Lonchura striata: one gene and its partners. The protein of the gene in region 3 binds, or shares a complex with, the protein of the main gene of each other region. Links are inferred from orthologs where the notes say so. Each region holds a gene or a part of one and is shown on either strand. Other genes may lie near its edges.

Evidence for each region.
Region 1: TADA2A (region 3) and KAT14 share a complex: the UniProt entries of both Homo sapiens proteins name them as parts of the ADA2A-containing complex. The link is inferred for Lonchura striata from reciprocal best matches to the Homo sapiens genes TADA2A and KAT14.
Region 2: TADA2A (region 3) and DR1 share a complex: the UniProt entries of both Homo sapiens proteins name them as parts of the ADA2A-containing complex. The link is inferred for Lonchura striata from reciprocal best matches to the Homo sapiens genes TADA2A and DR1.

The regions. Positions count from the first base shown.
Region 1 is NC_134605.1:22,464,300-22,471,658, reverse strand, and holds the start of KAT14 (cysteine-rich protein 2-binding protein), read left to right. Parts: upstream 1-4,282; 5' UTR 4,283-4,283; coding exon 4,284-4,539; intron 4,540-6,881; coding exon 6,882-7,000; intron 7,001-7,359. Other genes in the region: protein PET117 homolog, mitochondrial, read left to right, coding at 552-647, 3,881-4,030. UniProt on the Homo sapiens protein: Component of the ATAC complex, a complex with histone acetyltransferase activity on histones H3 and H4. May function as a scaffold for the ATAC complex to promote ATAC complex stability. Has also weak histone acetyltransferase activity toward histone H4.
Region 2 is NC_134611.1:20,785,655-20,792,789, reverse strand, and holds the start of DR1 (protein Dr1), read right to left. Parts: upstream 3,063-7,135; 5' UTR 2,981-3,062; coding exon 2,761-2,980; intron 1-2,760. Other genes in the region: retinol dehydrogenase 8, read right to left, coding at 5,263-5,496, 6,389-6,572. UniProt on the Homo sapiens protein: The association of the DR1/DRAP1 heterodimer with TBP results in a functional repression of both activated and basal transcription of class II genes.
Region 3 is NC_134622.1:10,484,697-10,492,646, forward strand, and holds the start of TADA2A (transcriptional adapter 2-alpha), read left to right. Parts: upstream 1-4,907; 5' UTR 4,908-4,963; intron 4,964-6,265; 5' UTR 6,266-6,484; coding exon 6,485-6,509; intron 6,510-7,180; coding exon 7,181-7,287; intron 7,288-7,950. UniProt on the Homo sapiens protein: Component of the ATAC complex, a complex with histone acetyltransferase activity on histones H3 and H4. Required for the function of some acidic activation domains, which activate transcription from a distant site. Binds double-stranded DNA.

The DNA of each region.
Region 1 (7,359 bases), on a different chromosome or scaffold from region 3:
GGCAAACACGGGTCTTAAGGCCACACACTGAACAATGAGAAGAAACCAAACAATTGAAAAGCAGCTTTCTCCAGCTGCTTCTCTCATGCACTTCGGGATTTCTGGGTGAGGAGAGCGCAGAACCGGTGGTCTTCCCTCGACAAAACCAGAAATGTTTCTTGCACGCACAAGCAACCTCCTTTTGTTGGCGCTGGCCGGCAGGAAGCTCCAGCGAGCATCCCCGCCGGGAACAGCCCGGGAGACACGGCACAGCTGGGCACACAATCCCAGCGGCGCTGGGAAACAAAGGCCCGCTTTCAGCAGCCCATGGCAGAGCTTCTGGCCAGCAGGGTGCGGGTGCCCGGCCCCGGAGCGGCATCTCCAGGGAGCAGCACACCCAGGGAGCGGCGCACCCAGGCAGCGCCATCTCCAGGGAGCCGCTGCCCGGCGCCGCCGCGCATCGGCGCTCGGCTGCTCCGGCCTGCTCGCCGCGCTCGGCGCTCGGCCGGGGGCGGGGCGCGCCGCCTCACGCCGTCCGCGTCCCCGCCCGCCCGGCGCTTCCCCCGCCGGCCATGTCGCGGGGCTCCCGCCTGGCGCTGGCCGTCTCCGCGCTGCTCTCCGCCGCCACCGTGGCGGCCGTGCACATCCAGCAGCGCCGGGAGCTGGAGGTGAGTGCGCGCCGCGGGCCGCGGGGGGGAGGCGGCGAGCGGGGCCCTGCCCCGGCCCTGGCTGCGGCCCCGCCCCTCACCTGCCGGCCCGCCGGGCCCCGCCCCACCTGCGGGCGCACGCGGAGCCCCGCCCGCCGCCGGGCCCCGCGCCTGAGCCCGCCTGGCCCTCACCCCTCCATCCCTCCCCGCAGCTCCTTGGGGGGCTGCGGGCTCTGTGTGGGCCCAGCCCGGCTCCCAGAGGCCGGAGCTGCCCCTGCCCAGCGCTGCCTCGCTGGTGCTGCCTCGGCTGCACTGCTCCCCATGGTGCTCCCTCCACAAGCCACCCCTTCTCCGCGTTTTCCTGCCTTGGTGCCTGTGCTTTTAGCTCTACCAGCTCTACCAGCTCCCTAATGCTGTCCTGTGCGTTTCTCTTCGGGGGCAAACAGGAGCCAGGAGCTCCAGGTGAGGCTCTCTGGAGGTGCTTCCTCTCTCCAGCAGCCAGCATACAGGGGAGGGGGGATGTGATCTTGCAGCCTCCAGCCAGTGCCACCCCCCCGGCAGTGTTCCCAGTGCTCTCCCCTGGCTGTGGCTGTGCTGTCCCACCGGTGTGCCCTGTTCTTCCTCAGCCCCACAAATGCACCCTGCTGGACGACAGACAGCCCTGTGCTGTGCCGTGCCCCTGCTCCCCTCTTGTTCTGCCAGGGCAGGCACAGTGCAAGCTGTCAGAAGCACCACGAGATAATTGATCAGGGCGGTTCTCTCTGCTATATTTACAAAAATCAGGGAATTCCTGGCAGGTAGCCTGTGTGCCAGAGAGCCCTCAGCCAAAAGGTGTCAGGTGACCATGGTGAGTCCTGAAGCAGAGCAGTCCTGCCTGGGACTAAAAGCTGTGTGGCTGTGTAAAGCTGTGCTGTGTGGGCAGTGAGTGCGCTGGTTTGGACCCTGCTGATGAGCCCAGGGTTATATGAGGGCACACATCTGATCCTTCTCCACTTACATCTAGAAAATGCACACAGAAACAGCCTGTGTTTAATGACACTGAGGCAATCAGAAGTTACAGAACACCAGAGTTCAACCTCCCAATCCATAGCCCAGCTCAGCTGGCTGTTGCTTGGCCTTTATGATACATTCTATAATTAGAGGATTATATTTTCTCCCCCCCCCGAGAGATTGTCTCTATCAGTGCTTGAGAGGGATGGAATTTGAAGGATGAGACTGGTCTGGGTAAGGAAAGAGGCAGGTTTGTGTGAGCAGGAGTTGGAGAACACTCTGGATTATTGGGATAGTGGGGATCCTGGAGTGGTCACCAGCAATGGCTCTGCACTTGACAGAGCTGATGGATGTGCTGGGTAGATCACCTAACATATTTTAGGTAGATCACATCACATTTTTGTAGCTGGCTGCTCTCTAATTCAATGTGCCTGCCTTGAGGCACTGAGGATCTGGCAGGAATAGCTGCTAAAGGCTCCTAAACTAAACTAAACTAAACTGCAATTAATGGCAGCTGTACTTTGAACATGTGCTGCACAATAAACATCACCCTTGGGTGTTTCAGTGGGACACCTAAACTTCCTGGATCTTTTTGACCCAAATCCTTGGCTAATACCTATTCAGAAGGGTCAAGGCTCAAAGTTTATGTTTTGTAAATTAAATCAGATATTTTCTTTTTATAATTATTTGTGGCCAAGTCAAACAGTAGTGGCTTCATGTTCAACAGATCCAGTTATTTAGGTAACATCATGGAAATAAATATTGTGGATGTTTTACACTCCCGGTGTAGAGATTATTTCAAGTTTATCTTTACGCAGATTAATAAACGTTTGACTTTTATTAATTGATGTGCCAGGCCCAGAGTGATTGAAGCTTGCTTTTCATGCCTGCAGAAGACAAGCAGGGCTAACTTCCAAGAGTAGAGGAAGATGAGGAGATTAACTTTTTCATAGGTCTTTGTCGCTTGTGGCACTCAAATTCTAAAGGTGTCTTTTGCAAAGTGTGCATTTTCAAAGGAAATACATCCACCACCTGAAAGATTGCAGTGTTTAGTGAAGGAAAAAGGATTGCATTCTTGGTGCAGTTGATCAGTTACTTTGTATCTCCACACATGTTTATTGCTATTAACTAATAGTAATGTAATAATGAGTTCATGAACTTTGTGTTCAGTTTCAAATTATTGATTCGCAGTAATCCGTAATTACAGTAATTCGTAGCCTGAATTCAGTTGGTGGAAGCTGGTGGAAAGGAATTGGTTTTATTAGATTAAATTCTGGAGAGTTTTGATTACTGGCTGACATATGTGTCTGTGCATTTTCTTAAGATAAAATTATTTATTAAAACGTTTCTGTTTTGATCTTGACAGGAGAAATGATTGCATTTTAAGTGTGCAGTCATTGGCATGCTAGGTCAGGAATAAAGCTGGGTGATAACTTGTCAAATAATAGCCACAGACATCCTCTCAAGTGACTTCAGGGTCAGCTTTCAAATAAAGTATTTGCAGGAGCATTTTGGCATCATTCAAATGGGTCAAATAAATTATTGATCTTTCACCTAATTATCAAAGTATTGATGTGAGTAAAAATATCTAGGTAAGAGAGAGAAGCATATGGAGGAAGCAGCTGGGATTTTCATAGTGCTTTTTACACCCATTGAGAGGTTGAAAGCTGCTGGTGTTGTGTTGCACGTTATGTATGTATTTATATATGTGTTATATATTTACATGATTTATAACAAACATTTTAGGTAATGGGGATATTTGTGAAGCAAGTGCCTTGCTTTTTCAAGAGTTTGGCACAAGCAGTCTGTGGGTATTTTTTTAAGATTAAGAATGAGCAGAAAGAAGCAAATGAAGACACATGCCAGTTTTTCTTAAAATAGTTTCCAATTTGTCACAAAATTGCCTCCAAGCAGAGAAGTTTTGAGCTTATTCTGATTTGGTAAAGTTTTAGGTCAGAGATGACATGATTTTTTCGATCACATCCATCCTGCATGACACGGGAATTACAGGCTCCTAGCATTTATTTGCTAAAAGTTGTGTCACTTAGTAAACCAAACCATTCGAAGTGAGCATAAGTAAAGCACATATTGGTGTAGCGATCCTGGATATTGGCTCCCGAAGATTCCAAGTACGTTGAGTTGCTGTGGGAAAGCCCCTGCCCAGGCAGCAGAGGGAACAGCCTTGCGGGAGGGGGAGCTTGGGTAGGGTTGGTCCCGATCAGCATTCCCCGGGCTGTGATAAACCCTGTCCTTTGTGTTTCCAGAGGCTGCGAAGTGGCGTGGTCAGAGATCTCGAGCGTCAGAATCAGAAAAAGGAGAACGTTCGCCTGTTAGAAGAGCAGATTGCTCTGACAAAGCAGCTCATTGAAGAGAGAGACAAGGCGCTAATGGAGAAACCTTCCCAGCAGTCCTAGGCGGGGCCTGGCGCCTTAGAGGTTTGATTAAAGACGTCTGAAGGTCATTTGCATCTCACTTCTGGCCGATGTTTTAACAAACAGAGGTAATCTGTGAAGGACTGGTTGTTTTGTATAAATTATAATCCAGCCTCTGCAGCTTTAAGGCAGACAAAAACCCATTTCGTCCGTGATTGGTACTTGGACTGTGGAGGCTTGGCCCGCATCCGAAGCTGGGGAGGAAGAGCCCATCGTTGGGCAGGCTCCCTCTAGGATGGCCAACAACGTTCACATGAGTGGGCTGCTCAGCCGCCACGACGATGAAGCCACCAGGACCTCCACCTCCGAGGGCCTGGAGGAGGGCGAGGTGGAAGGGGAGACTCTCCTGATTGTGGAGTCCGAGGACCAGGCTTCCGTGGATTTATCGCACGACCAGAGCGGGGACTCCCTGAACAGCGACGAGGGTGAAGCGTCCTGGATGGAGGAGATGTCCTATTACTGTGAGAAGTGCCAGAAGTGGATCCCAGCAAGTAAGGCTGCCCGTTGTGTTCTTTTTATAATTCTTCATGGCCAAGTCAAGCAGTAGTGGCTTCATGTTCAACAGATCCAGTTATTTAGGTAACATCATGGAAATAAATATTGTGGATGTTTTACACTCCCGGTGTAGAGATTATTTCAAGTTTATCTCTATGCAAATTAATAAACGTTTGACTTTTATTAATTGATGTGCCAGGCCCAGAGTGATTGAAGCTTGCACATGCCTTTCATGCCTGCAGAAGACAAGCAGGGCTAACTTCCAAGAGTAGAGGAAGATGAGGAGATTAACTTTTTCATAGGTCTTTGTCACTTGTGGCACTCAAATTCTAAAGGTGTCTTTTGCAAAGTGTGCATTTTCAAAGGAAATACATCCACCACCTGAAAGATTGCAGTGTTTAGTGAAGGAAAAAGGATTGCATTCTTGGTGCAGTTGATCAGTTACTTTGTATCTCCACACATGTTTATTGCTATTAACTAATAGTAATGTAATAATGAGTTTATGAACTTTGTGTTCAGTTTCAAATTATTGATTCGCAGTAATCCGTAATTACAGTAATTCGTAGCCTGAATTCAGTTGGTGGAAGCTGGTGGGAAGGAATTGGTTTTATTAGATTAAATTCTGGAGAGTTTTGATTATTGGCTGACGTATGTGTCTGTGCATTTTCTTAACAAAAAGTGGGTGTTTGCAAGGTGTTTGTGCTGTCCTGTTTCGCAGCTTATTAGGCTGTTCCCTGTCCTGCTCCTGCTTTGGTGGGTGATGCTTGCTGGCAGGGGCTGTGTTAGACACTTCAGTCCAGGAGCTGTGTGTGCCCAAAGCTGGTGCTCTCTCTGAGGAAGTCAAACTGTCTTCTTTAATTAATAGAGAACATTAAAGTTCAGAAACGTGCCCACCCTTACAATTCTTGCAGCTTTTTAGGGGCTTGGGCCAATCGACCTGACCTCTGCTCACAAATAATGACCCTTGCTGTAAAGCTCTGGGGAGGAAAAGGACTTTGTGTGTTACTTTTTCCCCTCCCTGTTGATTTGTCACATCTGTGGAGTTTATGGCTGAATCTCAATCTTAATGTTTTCCCAATAATCTGAATTTAAATTGGCTTAGAAACTTGCCCAGCCTTCAGCAGCCAGCTCTGGGGGGTGTTAGGAGCAAGCCGCAGAATTTGGTGCCTCTCATCTGGCACTTGACAAAAATATATATGCTGTTAGCAGTGTAATAGACAACTTTACATTCTAAGTTCTGGATTATCTGATCTATTATTACATCCAAGAGCCAGATATTGCTAAACACCAGTTGGCTTTGGTTTTAGTGGGGTTTTTTTGTTTGGTTTGATTTTGTGGTTTTGTGGGGTTGTTTTTTTGTTTTTGGTTAGAAATAACGAGCTGTTTAGGTGGCACCTGTCTCGCAGATATGTCAGAGCTGCCCTTTTTGCCTTCTTAGAATTTGCCAAAATTTATAGTGTAAAAATCTCCTCTCAAGGCATGTTAGTAAATGTTTTGGTGTTAATGTAATGAAACCAGCACCAGACTATTAAATTACTATGCAGTAAAAGGAAATATTAGCTTGAAATGTATTAATAAAAAAATGAAGCAGTTAAATGTAGCATGAGCTCTCTTGTGCTGGAGCACTTGATTTAACACTCATCTTGTTTTATTTTACAAATATGTTCCTCTCTGCAGTTGCTGTGGAACAAATGCAAGGAGCAGAAAAGGCCAGTTACAAAGCAATGGTAGCCACATTTACATATGTACAGAGTAAATGAGCTGTCAAAGGGAGATACTGTGCTCTTTCCTAATAATTCAGTTCTAGGGTGTTCAGTTGTCTCATGTGAAAATGGCCAATGTGCTCAGGCAAATAATCACTTTTTTAATTAGAATTGCCATTTAGAAATTATCTTAATCTACCAAGTGTTGGGAGTTTTTCCTCCATGAGATGCAGTTGCAACTTGAATTCTGCAATTCAGTATGGAAGCAGGGTATCCATATTTTAAAAATAACACAGTAAAAGAGATTACATCCTTGTAGAGAAACATCTTTTGAGTGTGACTTTCCAGAGACGCTCTAGTCTTAACCTTGTTTCCCTGTCCTCAGATGTAATTTTCAATTGTTCATGTCTGTGTAAACTCCTGGTGAGTTTAGAAGCCTGATTCATATAATCATTTTTCCTCTGCTGTAGAAACATGGAATTAGAGCCTGTAACTTTGGGTGCTTGGGGGTTTACAGGTGATTCTGTCATTTTTGTTCAGACAAACCTGATCTTGGAAGAAATCCAAATTTCCTTTGCAGCACTTATTCCTATAAAAGGGCCAAAAGTTTGATTTTTTTAACCTTTTCATTTTAGGTCAACTGAGAGAACAGCTCAGCTACCTCAAAGGAGATAACTTTTTCAGATTTACTTGCTCTGATTGCTCAGAAGATGGGAAGGAGCAATTTGAACGTCTGAGATTAACATGGCAACAAGTAAGTGAAATGTTTGTGCCAGTAGAACAGCCGTGGGACTTTCTGAAATTGTTGGTTGTTGTGTATATGCTACCTGGAAAAGGAGGCTTGGGTATTGGTAACAAAGGAACATTTGAATGAAATTCAGAAATTAATTAGCTGAGGATTGCCTGCACATGAGAACTTCAGCATTTGGCAAGGAAATTGAAAGATAATCAGACAAACCACATTCCTTTTCTTCTTTTTTTTTTTTTTTTCCTTCCCCTTATGTTGCTTGTGAATTCATGGCTTCAAGCAGGTTTGGAAAAGCAAAATAAATGCAATTTGGCTTCTAGGTATGAACAGTTTTTTGTGTCTATAAAAATGTAAAACTAGTGAGG
Region 2 (7,135 bases), on a different chromosome or scaffold from region 3:
CACACAACAATAAAATTAAAATCCCTCACGTGATACAACCAAGACAGATTTTTACAGTTATTCAATATAACAAAGCTATGAATAACCATAAATGATTTATGCATCATAAATCTACTCCATCAAAATTCTGCTGCCTGTGAAACAACTTACAAAGTTGACCATCTTCTTGAAGCACATCAAGGCTTACAGAACACATATGAATGGAAGGACTATGAATCCCTTTATACAAGCATGGTGAGAAAATGTGGGACAAGTGACTACTACTCTATCAGAGCTGCTCTCTCATCAAAACTCAAAGCCTTTCTATTTTTTGAGTCTTAAACATACCATCCTACCCAGATGACTTAAAATTTAGTATTTTCCTGAGGCTAGAATTATCCCACCAAATGTAAACAGCTGAATTCCAAAATACAGCATTTGGGATAGCACCATTCATATTTACAAACACCAAATCACAATTATCCTTTTCCCAGTTTCCTCCTACTCTTAATGACTGCATGAAGGTGGAGGTCTCTGAGTAATCAGTGACACATAGCTAGTAATACTTTTATTTTATAAAATCAATCCATTAATATCTGAGACTTTTAATTTTTTATGCTCCTTTCAAAGGAAATAAGACCTCCCAAAGTAAAATCCCAAACATGAACAGTTGTGGGACTCTTAAAATTACGTGCTAATATACACATTGTCAGTATCCTAACAGTCCATGAAAAGAAGAGACAAGATTTGACATCAATCCACAGCCTACCTTACTGCACAACAATTCCATGTAGACCCCAGTCAGCCAGCAAACTCACCTGAGAGGAAACCCTGCTCTGCCCTAAATTCTCAAAGGCCACAGGGTCAGCTGTATCTGCAATTGCCAGATACAATCTGAACTCTCCCGCTCTCAGAAAGTACAAAAAGACTCCTCTTGGCAGCACCCTGTGCTTAGGCTGGGCCAGGTGTGATGTGATGGCCATTAGCCTCATTTGACTTCTAAGCATTCAGAACAAAAAAGATACATGGGCGACCACAACAGATTTCAACTGCCTCATTTGTTAGCATCGTTATCATGACGCTGCTGCATTAAGAGGCATTCAAAACAGCAAGTATCTAGAATGTATGAAGATTGATGAAAATGCTGAAATGCTCTACTTATACACACAATCACTGTTTCCAAAAGTGGCAATCAAAACCCTCAAACCTCACAGAAGGATCATCTGCCAGCTGACCAGCATTGGAAATGAGCTAATAGCAATTACTTCCTTAAACATAAGCACAGCAGAAAATCCATTCATCTCTAAAACATTACAAAAATGGATACACTGCAATATTTTGCTACAAAGTATAGATTTAATTTGAAAATAACTTTTTCTAACTCTGAGATGTGATAACATAAGGACACAGAACCCAGCAAAATACTTGGCATGGGACCATCTGCTGATGTTATGCACACCCACTTTAGTTTCAATTTCTGTTCCAAAAAACCTGCACAAAGCCTAGGACAGCAATAGGTGAACTCTTTTCTACAGACTACCACTACTGGGTACAAAATACTTTCATACATAAACCCTTTACTGCCCTCGGTCTTAAGGATTACACGTTGTCCTGTGTTAAGAACTAACCTCAAACATTTTGTGTGGCGACTTGAAAAAACTATCCATGTATTAAAGAGCATCACACCTAAAGTATGCTTCCATGTGCAAGCACAGGTTTTACTTTACATCCTAGGCTTCTGTGATGGAGCTACTTTGCTAAACTTGCAAGCTTACATGCATTTAATTTAATATTAAAGCTCGTACATGCTACTTATTTTCTTTTGCAGTTCATGACCCAGTCAAGTACTTAAACCTCTTCTGTAATTTTTTTTTCCTTCAAACAGCAAATATTGCTTAAAAAAATCAGATCACGACAAGATTTTTTTAAACGAACTCGATACCATCATAGCCCTGAAAACAGCTGTAGTACAAATGCTGCTGTTAATACCTCTACTAAGCAGCCGAGTGAAGAACTCTTTCACTACTGCTGCTATAAATTTGTTTGCAGCAAACAACGACATCAACAACCCCGGCTTAAGAAGCAAAGCAAGTGACTTCTGACAAAAAACGATGCCTAATGCAGACTTCGGGATGAGGCAAGAAAACCTATTTGCGACAGAATTTAAAGAAAAACCAACAAGACAGAGAGAGAACTCGCCTTTTATTCAAGCAAGTAGAAGTGCAAGTAAACAGCACAGAAAATACAAGGGCATAGGTCACGTTTAAATGCTTTCTGAAACAGATACGAAGATCCAACATTAAACAATGAGACTCTATGGACAGTCCTAAAGAAATATACTCTTTAGAGATTCCAGACAAGAATACCATGGAATAAAGTCTGGGCCCCACATAATCAATCTCCAACTAAAAAAAAAAAAAAATTTACTAAATTCATATTATTGAAACACGCTGCACATCCATTCGAAAAAGCAGACCTCATTTCCCAGGTACGAGGAAGAGATCTGACGACTTCACTCACAGCACCACAGGCTTCTCTGAGGCACAACACCGGAGCTGGTCCTGAGCACAGCCAGCAGCCGCTCTAACCACACAAAGACATGCTCTCTTGCAGCGCGACTGGCAAGCCAGACAGCACACGCTTCTCCTCCACACCCTTACCAGAGCCTGCCTTTTGTGTTCTGCGTAGCTACAAGCAACCAGAGGGGAAAACGCGGCAGCGGGACAGGAGCGGCTCCCAGGTGCCCGGGCCGGCAGCGGCACAGCACCCGCGGAAGCTCACCTTGTATGACGTGTTCCGGGGAGATCGTTTTCTTCTCCGATTTGTTGCAGATCTCATTGGCCTCGGAGGAGATGAGGTGGATGAACTCAGTGCAGCAGTTGACCACCAGCTCCCGGGCGTCGTTCGCCACGCGGACGTTGGGCAGCGTCTCTTTGATCATCTTGTTGATGGCAGCCCGGGGGATGGTGAGGTCGTCGTCGTTGCCGGACGACGAGGCCATCCTGGCTGCGCTCGGCTCACGGGCTGCGCTCGGCGCCCGCGCGAGCCTCCAGGGCGCGGGGACCCGGCGGGGGCGGGCGGGGCCGCGGGGGCGGCGTCGCCGAGGGGCGGGGGACGGCGGGGCCGGGCCGGGGGTCGCTGCCGGGCCGGAGGGTCGCGGCGCCGGGAAGCGCTGCTCGGGCTCAGGGCTCCCTCGGCCGCGGCGCCTGCCACTGCCGCCTCCGCCACATCCTTCGGCCGCCGGCGCCGCTGCCTTAAGAGCTGTGTGAGGGGAGGCGAGCGGCGGAAGCCCCGCGCGGCTCCGCTGGCCCCGGCTGGCCCGGCCGTGCGGCGGCCGCGAGGCGGAAACGCTCCGAGCCCGGCTCAGCCTGCGAGGGACGGCGCTTCCGCCGGAAGCCGGAGCGGCTTCCGCCGCCGGGAGCGCCGGAAAGGCCGCGCTGCCACGTGCGGGCGGCGGCGAGGGGTCCTTCAGCCGCCGCCCTCCGCCTGGAGCTGCGCTCCGGCCACACCCGGCCACACCCGGCTTTCCCCTCGGTGCCGGCAGCAGCAGGGGATCTGACAGCCCCGCCAGGCTCGTCCCTCCGCAGTTGATTCACGACTTGCAGGCAGGGCTGGCTTTACTCGGCAGCTATCTATCTATTACACTGTGTTTTCTGCTTGCACTCACTTCATAGCCAGTAGTGTGAGGGTTGCACGAGACGGAATTAGCCAGACCACGGTAGTGTTTGTGAAAGGCTCACTAAACCCACGGCCCTGGTCTTGTCTTGCTGTGTGCTGCAAAGGAAAAAACTGCCCCGGAATGCAGCCCAGCCCGAGCTGCAGGACAGAGACAAGCACAGCTGAGCGACACTGGGGCTGCTGGCAGGCCTAGCCCTTCTGTGGGTGTCTCTGTCCAGTACCCTGTGCTGACCCTCAGCAGGTGGCAAGGAGATCTCAGCTGCAGAGGGGCAATTTGCCAGGCTCCCTTCAGCCCCAGCAGCACTCTGCTGTCATTTAATTCCTGCTCTCTCCTTTCGGGCTTGCTTCTGTTCACCTCTCATCCACACGCTGATGCTGGGCTGCTTGGGGCCCCCAGCTGTGCACAGCAGCTGCTGCGGCTGCTCCTGTCCCCTCAGTCCCCTGCATGCCCCTGCATCCTAGGCCCCACCAAAAGGGTCACAACTGCAGAGCAAGCCCTGCATTAGCCGCAGTCTTTGGGAGCCGCAGAAACTTTGAGCTCCTTTGGGGAGAGGCAGGGCGGGGCCGCTGCAAGTCGCAGCACGGAATTAGGTTTTGGCTCTCTGAGACGGTATTGAAGGAAAGCTGGGCTCTGTGGGTGGAATGTGCTGGGAAGCTGCAGCCTGGAGGCCCGAGGGTCACTCGGCCTCTGCTGCGGTCAGGGAACAGCAACGACAGGCTCAGCAATAGCACTGCAGCCAGGCTCCCCTCAAACCTTGGCCTCAAACCACCTGGAGCACTAGGCTGAGAAAAAGCAAGGGAAAAGATCCGCTCTACATGACAGAATTTTGGTTTAACACGTACTTATTAGGATAGCTTGGAACAAGAGGGTTCTGTATCAGACACCGAAGGTACTGAAGGAATTCAGTGGATTGAGATTACTTATTACTGACAATTCTTTGTTTTCAAAAAGTAGTACCCAGACAGTAAGAAGATATTTTATTTTAAGATGCTTTAAAAAAACATTTTATTGCTTGCTAAGTGCAATATGCTAGTAACCACTGCATATAAAGGAAGCATTTAGAATATTATAATAAAAATATATTAATAATAAATATTCTACTAGTCACATTTTAAGATTGATGAGACTTTCTTTTATGTTGCTGATAAATAGATCCGACTTCTGGAAATGAGAATGGCAGTGTAATTGACCAATTACAATACTGATTCTATCCTAATAAGTAAAAACATATTTTTATGATATTAAGAATCTAAATCATCTGCATACTGTACACTTCTCAGTGTGTATTATATTCAAGTAAGTGAAGGAGGTCAGGTTAATATTGAATACACAAATATCAGTCAGTGTTCGTGTTCCTAAGAAAACATCTCTGGAAAAAGCAAAACACTAAACAGAATAAAACTACAGTTAGAGGATTTTAATTGCAAGGGTCTGCAAACAGTAACATTCAAGAGATACACATTGAAATGAATATCTTAGCTAAGCTCAAACAAGTACCTTGCATGCATTTTCTTAATTACAGACCAAAGGCATTTGAATAACAACATACTGTGTCATCAGTAGCTACAAAAAATAATTCCAATTTGCACTATATAATCTCATACTTATTGTGAAGGTTTTCCCAGGTCAAAGCTCTTTCTGCTTCTCCACCGTAGCAATTTGATGAAGTTGAGACTTGCACTGAAGATTTTGTCATGCTGAAAAACCATTTTGTAGAATATGTCAATGGGTAGATCTCCATTTGGATCTGCGTACTTCAGAGTTGTCATTGGAGTATACAAGGTGTTGGTCTGATGGCGAAAAGGTGGATTTTCTGCAAGAATTATCTTTACTGTATGCTGTAGAGAAGGAGAAACAGAATTTTAAAAGAACCTTTACCAAGACAGTAAAGTAAAAACCCAGTTTTCAGTGGAAAAGTAGAAGAATAAAGTGCTAGAATTATGTAAAACCCTGTATAGTTTTACTAAACCATCATTAGAAATTCTTCTTGAAATATTCAAAGGCCATAAGAAGTATTTCTTATTTATTCTTCTGTTTCTCTATACCATGGCAATAGCATCTGACAATTTAGTATCCTGAGTAGTCTTCCAAATGATTGTGGGCTTATATGCCCACAGTAGGTAGATCCTCTCTTTTGCAGTTCACTGCTAAAGGGACAGGACTGTGCCTTTGACACCAAGATCTGGGAATCATCAGTTGACACTAAAGATACTCCTTCTAGCAAACACCTGAAATCATCATCCCCTCCCACAGGTGGCCTAAACTTGTCTTCCTGCAGGAAGCTTCAAACATCAGAAACATCCAAGTTTCTTTTATTGTGCCTTGGTGGCCTGGGGTGGCTGTGTGAACTTCCCTTAGTGGAGGGATTATGAGTGAGGTGGAAAGGACAGAGCTTTACCAGTACTGGGAACCCTGGGTGGATGTATGGTAACAATGCAGAATATTCAGACTTCACCAGAGGATGTAAAGGGCATCCAATATCTGAGTAGTATTTAAATTACAATTCATAGTTATCTTCAATAATTCAAAATGAACATTCTTTTAGTATTTTGTAGACTTTTGTTTAAAGACTCTGAAAATTCTTTTGAATTTTTAAAAAAACTTTTTAATTGTGTACATTTAATTAATCTGAATGCTTCTACCAGAAAAACCCACCAGCCAACCACTGTATTCATAAATTACAAAGGGAAGAAAACAACAACAACAAAAGATGAATTTTTTATGAGTTACCTCTGCAACATCTTCAGCACTTTGTCCCAGGCTCTGAAAAATTTGTTTGTAATTTTTAAGGTAAATGTTAGTAAACATCTCAGCTGTTTCTTTATCTGCAGCTGAAAGATCCATTTTCATTCCATCTTCAAACACTTTTCTTTCAAACTCTGTAACCACTGGGCCTGGTTCAATCAAACTTAACCTGTTCAAAAAAAAAAAAAGAGGTTAACTGGTTGTTTTCTGTCCTCCAAGGAAAATACACCCTCAATTGTTCTCCAAAAAGAACATTGAAAAGTTGCACTAGCAAACAGTATGTAACAGTACTTTCTGCAAAGGCAATCCATACTGCATTACTGCTGCCCTGCTCCTTCTACCCATCCACATATAGTGATAGAAATCTGCATAGTTCAATTTTCAGAGAAGTGCTGTAACTTAATTCATGACATAAGTGAGTGCAGTTGTTACCTGCTGTCTCACAGCCGTGGAATCCAAGGGTGATTTATTCACAAGGACTTACCAGATAGTAAGAAAATTAATTAATGGATGGTAACAAAAGTCATTACTTTCTGGACCAAATCCTGCATAGGTTTCTTTGTTTCTAATTATAATACTAGAAGTAGCTGAAAGAGATAGGGGAATTGCCAGAACATGGATTTTCTTTTTCAAGCTGTTAGTGTTACATGATTTAAGATCCCGCCACTATATAATAATAAAATGCAATACAGAGATTTTTATAGTGGGTGGACAGATTCTGGCTGCTGCCAA
Region 3 (7,950 bases):
CACGGCCGGCCCCGCCCCGGCCCGCCCCGCCGGCCGCCGGTGCCGCGGGCCCCCCGCGCTGCCCGCGCTGCCCGCGCCGGCGGCGCGGCCCCGCCCTCACCTCACGGTGCCGGTGCAGCGGAGGCGCCGCGGGCCCCCGGCCTGGCGCTCCCCGCGCGGCCCCGCCCCCGGGCCCGCCCCGCGCCCGCGCGGCCCCGCCCCCCGGGCCCGCCCCCCTCCCGGTGGTGTGATCGGGGTTACCTCGGGTCGGGCCCCGCGCGCGCCCCGCCCCGCGCGCGCCCCGCCTCCCCGCCGCTCCCATTGGCTGCCGCCCGGGGCCGCGGCGAGGGGGCGTGACCAATGGGGAGGAGCGGCGGGGGCGGGGCCTGTGGGGCGATGCCCGTGGCCTGAGCGCCGGGCGGGGCCGCGCCCGGGCTCGAACCCGCGACCCCCGGGACCCCGGGACCGCCGGGACCGCCGGGACCCCCGGGACAGCCGGGGCAGCCGGGATCCCCGGGACCGCCGGGATCCCCGGGACACCCGGGACACCCGGGATCCCCGGGACCCCCGGGACACCCGGGACACCCGGGACAGCCGGGGCAGCCGGGATCCCCGGGACCCCCGGGACAGCCGGGATCCCCGGGACCCCCGGGACCGCCGGGATCCCCGGGACCCCCGGGACCCCCGGGACAGCCGGGGCAGCCGGGATCCCCGGGACCCCGGGACCGCCGGGACACCCGGGACAGCCGGGACCCCCGGGACAGCCTGGACCCCCGGGACAGCCGGGATCCCCGGGACCCCCGGGATCCCCGGGACACCCGGGATCCCCGGGACCCCCGCGACCCCGGGACCGCCGGAACACCCGGGACCCCCGGGACAGCCGGGGCAGCCAGGACCCCCGGGACCTCGGAACCCCCGGGACAGCCGGGACACCCGAGACCCCCGGGACAGCCTGGACCCCCGGAACAGCTGAGACCCCCGCGAGCCCCGGAACAGCCGGGGCAGCCGGGATCCCCGCGACCCCGGGACAGCCAAGACCCCTGGGACAGCCGGGACCCCCGGGCCAGCCGGGAATCCCAGGACCCCCAGGACCAGAGCATCGCTGCTGGGAGGGAAACCCTCCGAGGGGGCTGTGCCTGCTGAGCCTGGAGGCGAGGTGCCCCAAGGGGCCCCCCGGCGCCCATCGGTGTCTGTGGTGGGGGGCCAAGCTGCACCGGGCTCTTCTCGGTGGCACCAACAGCACAAGAGCAATCAGGCAGGACCCGCCGCACACCTGAACACGAGGCAGGGCTCTGCTGCGCAGGTGGCAGGGCACGGGAGCAGAGAGCAGGCAGGAGAGGAGTGCCCTGCTGCAGATCCAGCAGGCCCGTGCCGTGCGCTGCCCGCGCTGCCCGCGGGGACACCGGCCTGTCCCCGGGCACTGCCAGGGAGCACAGGCTGATAACAGGTGCTGAGGGCACGGCCAAGCAGGGCTGGCACTGCCACTGCCCCTCCTGCTCCTCTCTGACCTTCAGCTGCTCCTTCTGCCGACGGACAATGGGTTAAAGAACTACCCCGCTAGCCTTTTTCCACGTTTTTGTGTTTTATTTGAGCTCCGAGCTGTTACAGGGCTGCTGAAGTACAAATGGAACGGGTAACACAAGTTTAAGTGCTCGATGTGGTGACCTGTGCAGGCTGATCCTGCAGGGACCCCAAGGATCCACTGTTCCCAAATACAGAGAATTTCCACCAAGGCGGTGGTTAGAAGGTGTGAGACTGCAGGAAACTGCACCTGGTGGCATGGGTGCCCACTGCAGGCAAGAAATACCCAGAAAAGCCAATTTGGGGGCTTGTAGTTAATAAAATTATTGGGGGAACAGACCATATTCTCACATCCACTTGGACCAAATCTGGAAACTTTGGGCAGGAACACTTTTATTTATACTGCTGTAGAGATAAATACATAGATATAGATGTGTATTTCACACAAACAACCCTCCTCTGAGTGCTTCAGGAAGGAGCTGAAGAGAAGGTTTTGGGTGTTAATTAATGGTCTCCAGTGCTAAATCCCAGCTGCTGCAGAAGTGAGGGGGAGTGATTGGCTTGCTGAGGGGCTGGTCCCAAACCACTGATAATAACTACACACAGAACTTACCAAACCAGGAGGTTACAACAGCTGCTGAGTTCATCCTGGCTGCTGTTCCCAGAGCTCCAGGCCTGCTAAAACCTGCACCTGCACTCTGCCTGCCCAGCCCAGCGCATCCATCCAGCTGCAAACACTGTCCAAACACTGCTGGGGGAGGGATTGCTTCACACACTGAAATCCTGCAGCACCTCCTCCATTCAAGGGCAAAGAGAGGCATGAACACGTGGAAAAGAGCAAGTTAAAGACATTCACCCCAAAAGTCCAGCACGGATTTGGAAGGAGCATTTTTGGGCTATGGAGATGGCGAAGGGTCTGGAGGGGAAGGCATGTGAGGAGAGGCTGGGGGCACGTGGAATGATCAGCTGGAGGAAAGTGAGGCTGATCCTTGTGGGTCCCTTCCAACTGAGGAGATTCCATGAAATTAAACTACTCTGGGCTGGGTGAGAAGCCAGGTTGGACTCAATGATCTGGGAGGTCTGTTCCAACATAACGATCCTGGGATTCAAGTCTGGGCAGGAATAATCTGCGTTTTAATTGTTTCACAGGGTTCAAACAACTTTCCAGTTGTTGTCTTTTAAATGTTTGAATCATACCCACGTTCTGCTTTGGAGGGGGGCTGGTAAATGCACCTGACATCCTTTTCTTGTCCCTCTCCAAAGCTGGACACGGTTATTTACTCTCATTCCATGACTCCCAAGCATGTGCACTGTGAACTCGTGCCACTGCGTTCTCTCAAAAACAGGAAGCTTAGCCTTAGTAAATAAACTCCAAAACACACAGGGGAAATGTTTTTACCTCTCGTGACGCCAAGTGCTGGTTCCACCTCTCCTGACCATTCTCTGATGACACCCCCAGTGCAAACACAGGACAGATCATCCCGGGTGAGGGGGTCGGTGACACTGCCAGCCTGGCACCACTCGTGTCCTGGCAGCCAAGGAACGGAGAGAAAGGTCAGATCACTTTTTAAAGCAAAACACCAGCCCTCGAGGCTCCATTGGCTCTTGTTTTCAACATAAACATTTTCATTTAAGTAACATCAGCGCTTTTGAGAAAGCGTTGTGGGTTCTCTGGAGCCTCGGCCGCTGGGAAATGTCAGCGGTTATTTGGGATTGAACAGAAATGGTTCATCCTTCCATTCCCGGGGGCACACAGCACGTGTGGTGACCGAGCAAGCCCCAAGCTCCGGAGGAAAAGGCGATTCCCATCGCCACCGTGTGTCCGAGGCAGAAAACGCCGACGCCACAAAAAAACTCCACCCAACAGCGCCCAGAAATCCCACCAAGGGCAGGGAGAGGCCTGAAAATGCTCCCACTGATTTCTGCCCCAAAACCACTGTTTCACCTGGGGCTCAGCCTGCACTCCCGCACTGGGCTGCAGGCGAGCAGAAATTACCAGCAAATAATCTCAAACAGCAAATGAAAATTGCTTCATTTGCTAAAACCTCTGAGTAGCAGCGTGTGAGCACTTAGTTCATTCCAGAATATCCCCTTGGATCTTCCTGGAGTGCAGTTTTGGGAGCTGAGCTGAGACCCTTTGGAGCCGTTTCACACGTGCCATGGAGCAGCCATGGGCTGGGGGCACCTTCAGGGCTCTGCTGAGCTGGAAACCACTGGAGCAGGCTCCAGAAAAAAAGATTTTTCCTGTCACTGCTCCCTCCAGGAGCCATCAGGAGGCTGTGGTTTTGGAGACACCGTGTCACTAAAACATTGGCCTGAAAATCCTGTAAGACTCCACGGATTTTCAATGTTCCTCATAAATATTTTTTCACTCCCATGCCAGGGGCATAACAGGAAAACCCTCAACACTGAAATATCTGAAGTCCACGGAAAGCTGCAGGATTCAGGACAGCATTCTTACCTTGCAGATGCATCACCTTTCCTGGGAACAGCAGGAACCAGATTCCCACATGCTGATTCCTTCCATTAACCACCCAGAGTCCTAATTCCCAGATGCAGGAAAAACCTGTTAGCAGAAGCAATAAACATTTAATTGACATTCCGTACATTTGCCTCTCCCAAATCCTCAATTTTTTTTCCCATTTTTTGCACGTGCCTGGGCAAAAGAAAAAGGGAATAACTGCCAGCATTTTTAATCTTGTTGGTAAATAGTTCAGACAAGGAGCATGGATGGACGAGGAGGAATGGCTTCAGGCTGCCAGAGGCCAGGGTTAGATGGAATATCGGGAAGGAGATGTGGGGAGACCCTGGCACAGGCTGCACATCCCTGGCAGTGTCCAAGGGCAGCGGAATCCGTCCCTGCCATGGCAGGGGTGGCACTGGGTGATGCTGAAGTTCCTCCCCACGCACACCACTCCGGGATTCCCCGTTACATCCAGCTCTAATCCCCCGCAGGACCAGTTCCTCCCGTAGCTGCTTCACACGGCAGTGCCACGGGAGCCCTTTCCCCGTGGAAATCCGCCCTTCGCCACCCCGAGGGCCGGGCAGCGCCAGGAGCCGGGGAGGCTGCGGGAAGGAGCGGGGCTCCGGTGACCGAGCCGCCCCGGGAAGGAGCGGGGCTCCGGTGATGGGCGGTCAGAGGGGTCCGGGGCTGTTCCCCGCGGGACCCCGGGCGGCAGCGGCACCGGCCGTGCGAGCCCGGTTCCTGCCCAGCCCCGGTGCCGGTGCCGGTGCCGGTGCCGGTGCCGGTGCCGGTGCCGGTGCCGGTGCCGGTGCCGGTGCCGGTGCCGGTGCCGGTCCCGGCCCGGTTCGCTCCCGGTCCCCCTCGCCCCGCTCGGGGCGGCGCGGCCCCTGCGGCGCGCGCCGGTCCCGCCAGGGGGCGCGCGCCCCGCCCCGGCGCGTGCGCACGGCGGGCCCGGGAGCGCGCGCGCGCGCGCGGGCCCGACCCGGCGCGCCGAGCGAGGTGAGAGGCGAGCCCCGGCTCCCCCCCCCCACCACCCCCGGCTCCCCGCGCCGCCCCCAGCGGGCCGCACCGGGACCGGGACCGGGCCGGGCCGGGCCGGGGGCAGCGCGCAGAGCGGGGCTCGGGCAGCGGGGGGGGCGCCGGGAGCGCGCGGGCCGCGGCGGGGCCGGAGGGGGCGGGGCCGGGCGGGGGCGCCGCCTGGCGGTGACGGGGAGAGGGACAGGCGGGGCGGGAGAGGAATTGGGGACGGGAGCGGGAATGGGAATACTGGGATAGGGATATGGGGATGGGAATGGGAATGGGGATATGGGGATGGGAACGGGAATGGGAATATGGGAACGGGAATATGGCAATGGGGATATGGGGATAGGGATATGGGGATGGGAATGGGGAGATGGGGATGGAAATGGGAATGGGGATATGGGGATGGGAACGGGAATGGGAATATGGGAACGGGAATATGGCAATGGGGATATGGGGATGGGAATGGGGATATGGGGATGGAAATGGGAATGGGGATATGGGGATGGGAACGGGAATGGGAATATGGGAACGGGAATATGGCAATGGGGATATGGGGATGGGAATGGGGAGATGGGGATGGAAATGGGAATGGGGATATGGGGATGGGAACGGGAATGGGAATATGGGAACGGGAATATGGCAATGGGGATATGGGGATAGGGATATGGGGATGGGGATATGGGGATGGAAATGGGAATGGGGATATGGGGATGGGAACGGGAATGGGAATATGGGAACGGGAATATGGCAATGGGGATATTGGGATAGGGATATGGGGATGGGAATGGGGATATGGGGATGGGAACGGGGGTAGGAACGGGGATGGTAACGGGAATGGGGATATGGAGATATGGGGATGGGAATGGGATTGGGATGGAGATGGGATTGGGAATGGGGATGGGAATGGGGATGGGATTGGGATGGGAATATGGGGATATGGAGATGGGATGGGTATGGGGATATGGGGATGAGAACAGGGATGTGGATATGGGGATGGAGATGGGGATATGGGGGAGTGGGAATTGGGATATGGTCGAGTGAGGACTGGGAATGCGAATGAGAATAGGAACTGGGATGTGAGGAGTGGAATATGGGGAAGTGGGATATGGGGAATGGGGATTGGGATGTGAGGGACTCAGAACTGGGACGGGCAGTGGGATGCGGGGAGTGCCTCTGGGAGGTGCAGAGCACTTCCCTGCGCAGCAGCTGCTCATAACTCTGCTCGCTTCGGGGTGACATCCCCACCACCCCACACCTCCTGTCGGATTCCCCCCACAGCCAGAGCAGGGACTCTGATCCGTGTGGAGTGGGCTCTGACGGCTGCTGAAGCCCTTCTGCTTGCTGCTCAGGACATCCTGGGAGGATCAGAGCCGCGAGGGCTGTGGGAGAGGCAGAATTCCCTTTGGGATAATTCCCTTTGGTGTGGGACAAGGCTGACGCTCCTGGCGCGTTTCCCAGCCGGGTTTTACCCAGGGAGCAGGCAGCGCCGGGGGAGGGATGGAGCGCCTGGCCTCCTTCAGCAGTAAGTGCCTTCAGAGAATCCAGCTCCCACGTCTGCTCCTGGAAAACCTGCACGGCACAAGGATTCCTTGGAGCAGTGGGATTTCGGTGTCACTGTCCCAGAAAGGGGCCAAAAACTGAGCGAATGTGGCACTCTGGGGACGTGGTGTAGTGCTCACAAAAATTATTCGGTCTGACTTTTGCCTTATTTTTCTCTACTTATAATTGAACTGATTCAAAACCATTTTCTTGGAAAAAGTCAGAATCATGGAATCCCAGACTGGTTTGGGTTGGAAGAAACCTCAGAGCCCACCCAGTGCCACCCCTGCCATGGCAGGGACACCTTCCACTGTCCCAGGGTGCTTCAAGCCCTGTCCAACCTGGCCTTGGATACTTCCAGGGATCCAGGGGCAGCCACAGCTCCTCTGGGCATCCTCACCACCCTCCTAGGGAAGGGTTTCTTCCCAGTTCTCCAATCTAACCCTGCTCTCTTTGAGTTTGAAGCCATTATAACCTGACAGTCATATTAATTTCGTTGCACAACTGAGTTCATTTAAAATCCATAGAATCACAGAACATCCTGAGCTGGGCCCACAAGAACCATCAGCAGCCGGGGCTGGGCACAGGGGGATTTAGGGGCTGCCAAAGCAGTGCTGTGCTTGTGTGACAGGAGATTTCCTGTGGTTTTCCCAGGTGACCCTTTTGATAAGCCCCCGTGCCGAGGCTGCTCCTCGTACCTGACGGAGCCCTACGTGAAGTGTGCTGAGTGTGGGCCCCCTCCCTTCCTGCTGTGCCTGCAGGTGAGAAAGCAAAACCATTGAGAGACTCCCAAGTCACAAACACAGGTTATTAGGAAAAGGGAAAAGAAACAAAATCCATGCAATAACACAAAAGGAAAACCACTGGCAGAGTCAGAACACAACCTGACACCCTTTTGGACAGCGTGTTGGTGGCAGTCCAAATTGGAGTGGCTGCAGTCCCTGGAGTGGCAGGGGTGGTTCTGTCAGAGCAGGGATCCTGTAGAAGGATGGAGTCTTCCTCTGAAGCTCCAGTGGAAAACCCCAGCTGTTCCTTTTGGGAATCTATTAGAAAAACCTGTGTTGGTGTTCCAAAAACACAGATTATATCCAGGTAGGAATGCTTGGCTCCTCCCTCTGGGTGGAGCATCTCACAATGGGATGTTTTAACTCAGTAGCCCATTATCAGCAGATGTCTCCCCTGAGAGAGGATTGGTTGTGGAAGAAAGAAGGAAAACTGCCCAATGAACAGAAGGCAATGCCATAGAGATGGCAATAGAGCACGTCTTGCCTTTCAATCTGGGATAGGGTCCAGCAGCAGGGCACAGCTCTCACTGCCCCGAGGGAGCCAGCCAGGGCTGTCCCAGTCACCTCTGCTCTCTCCAGCAGGGACCAGCCCACCCGGGACAGGGAAATGACAAAGGGGGTTGGAGAGTGCAGGACTGA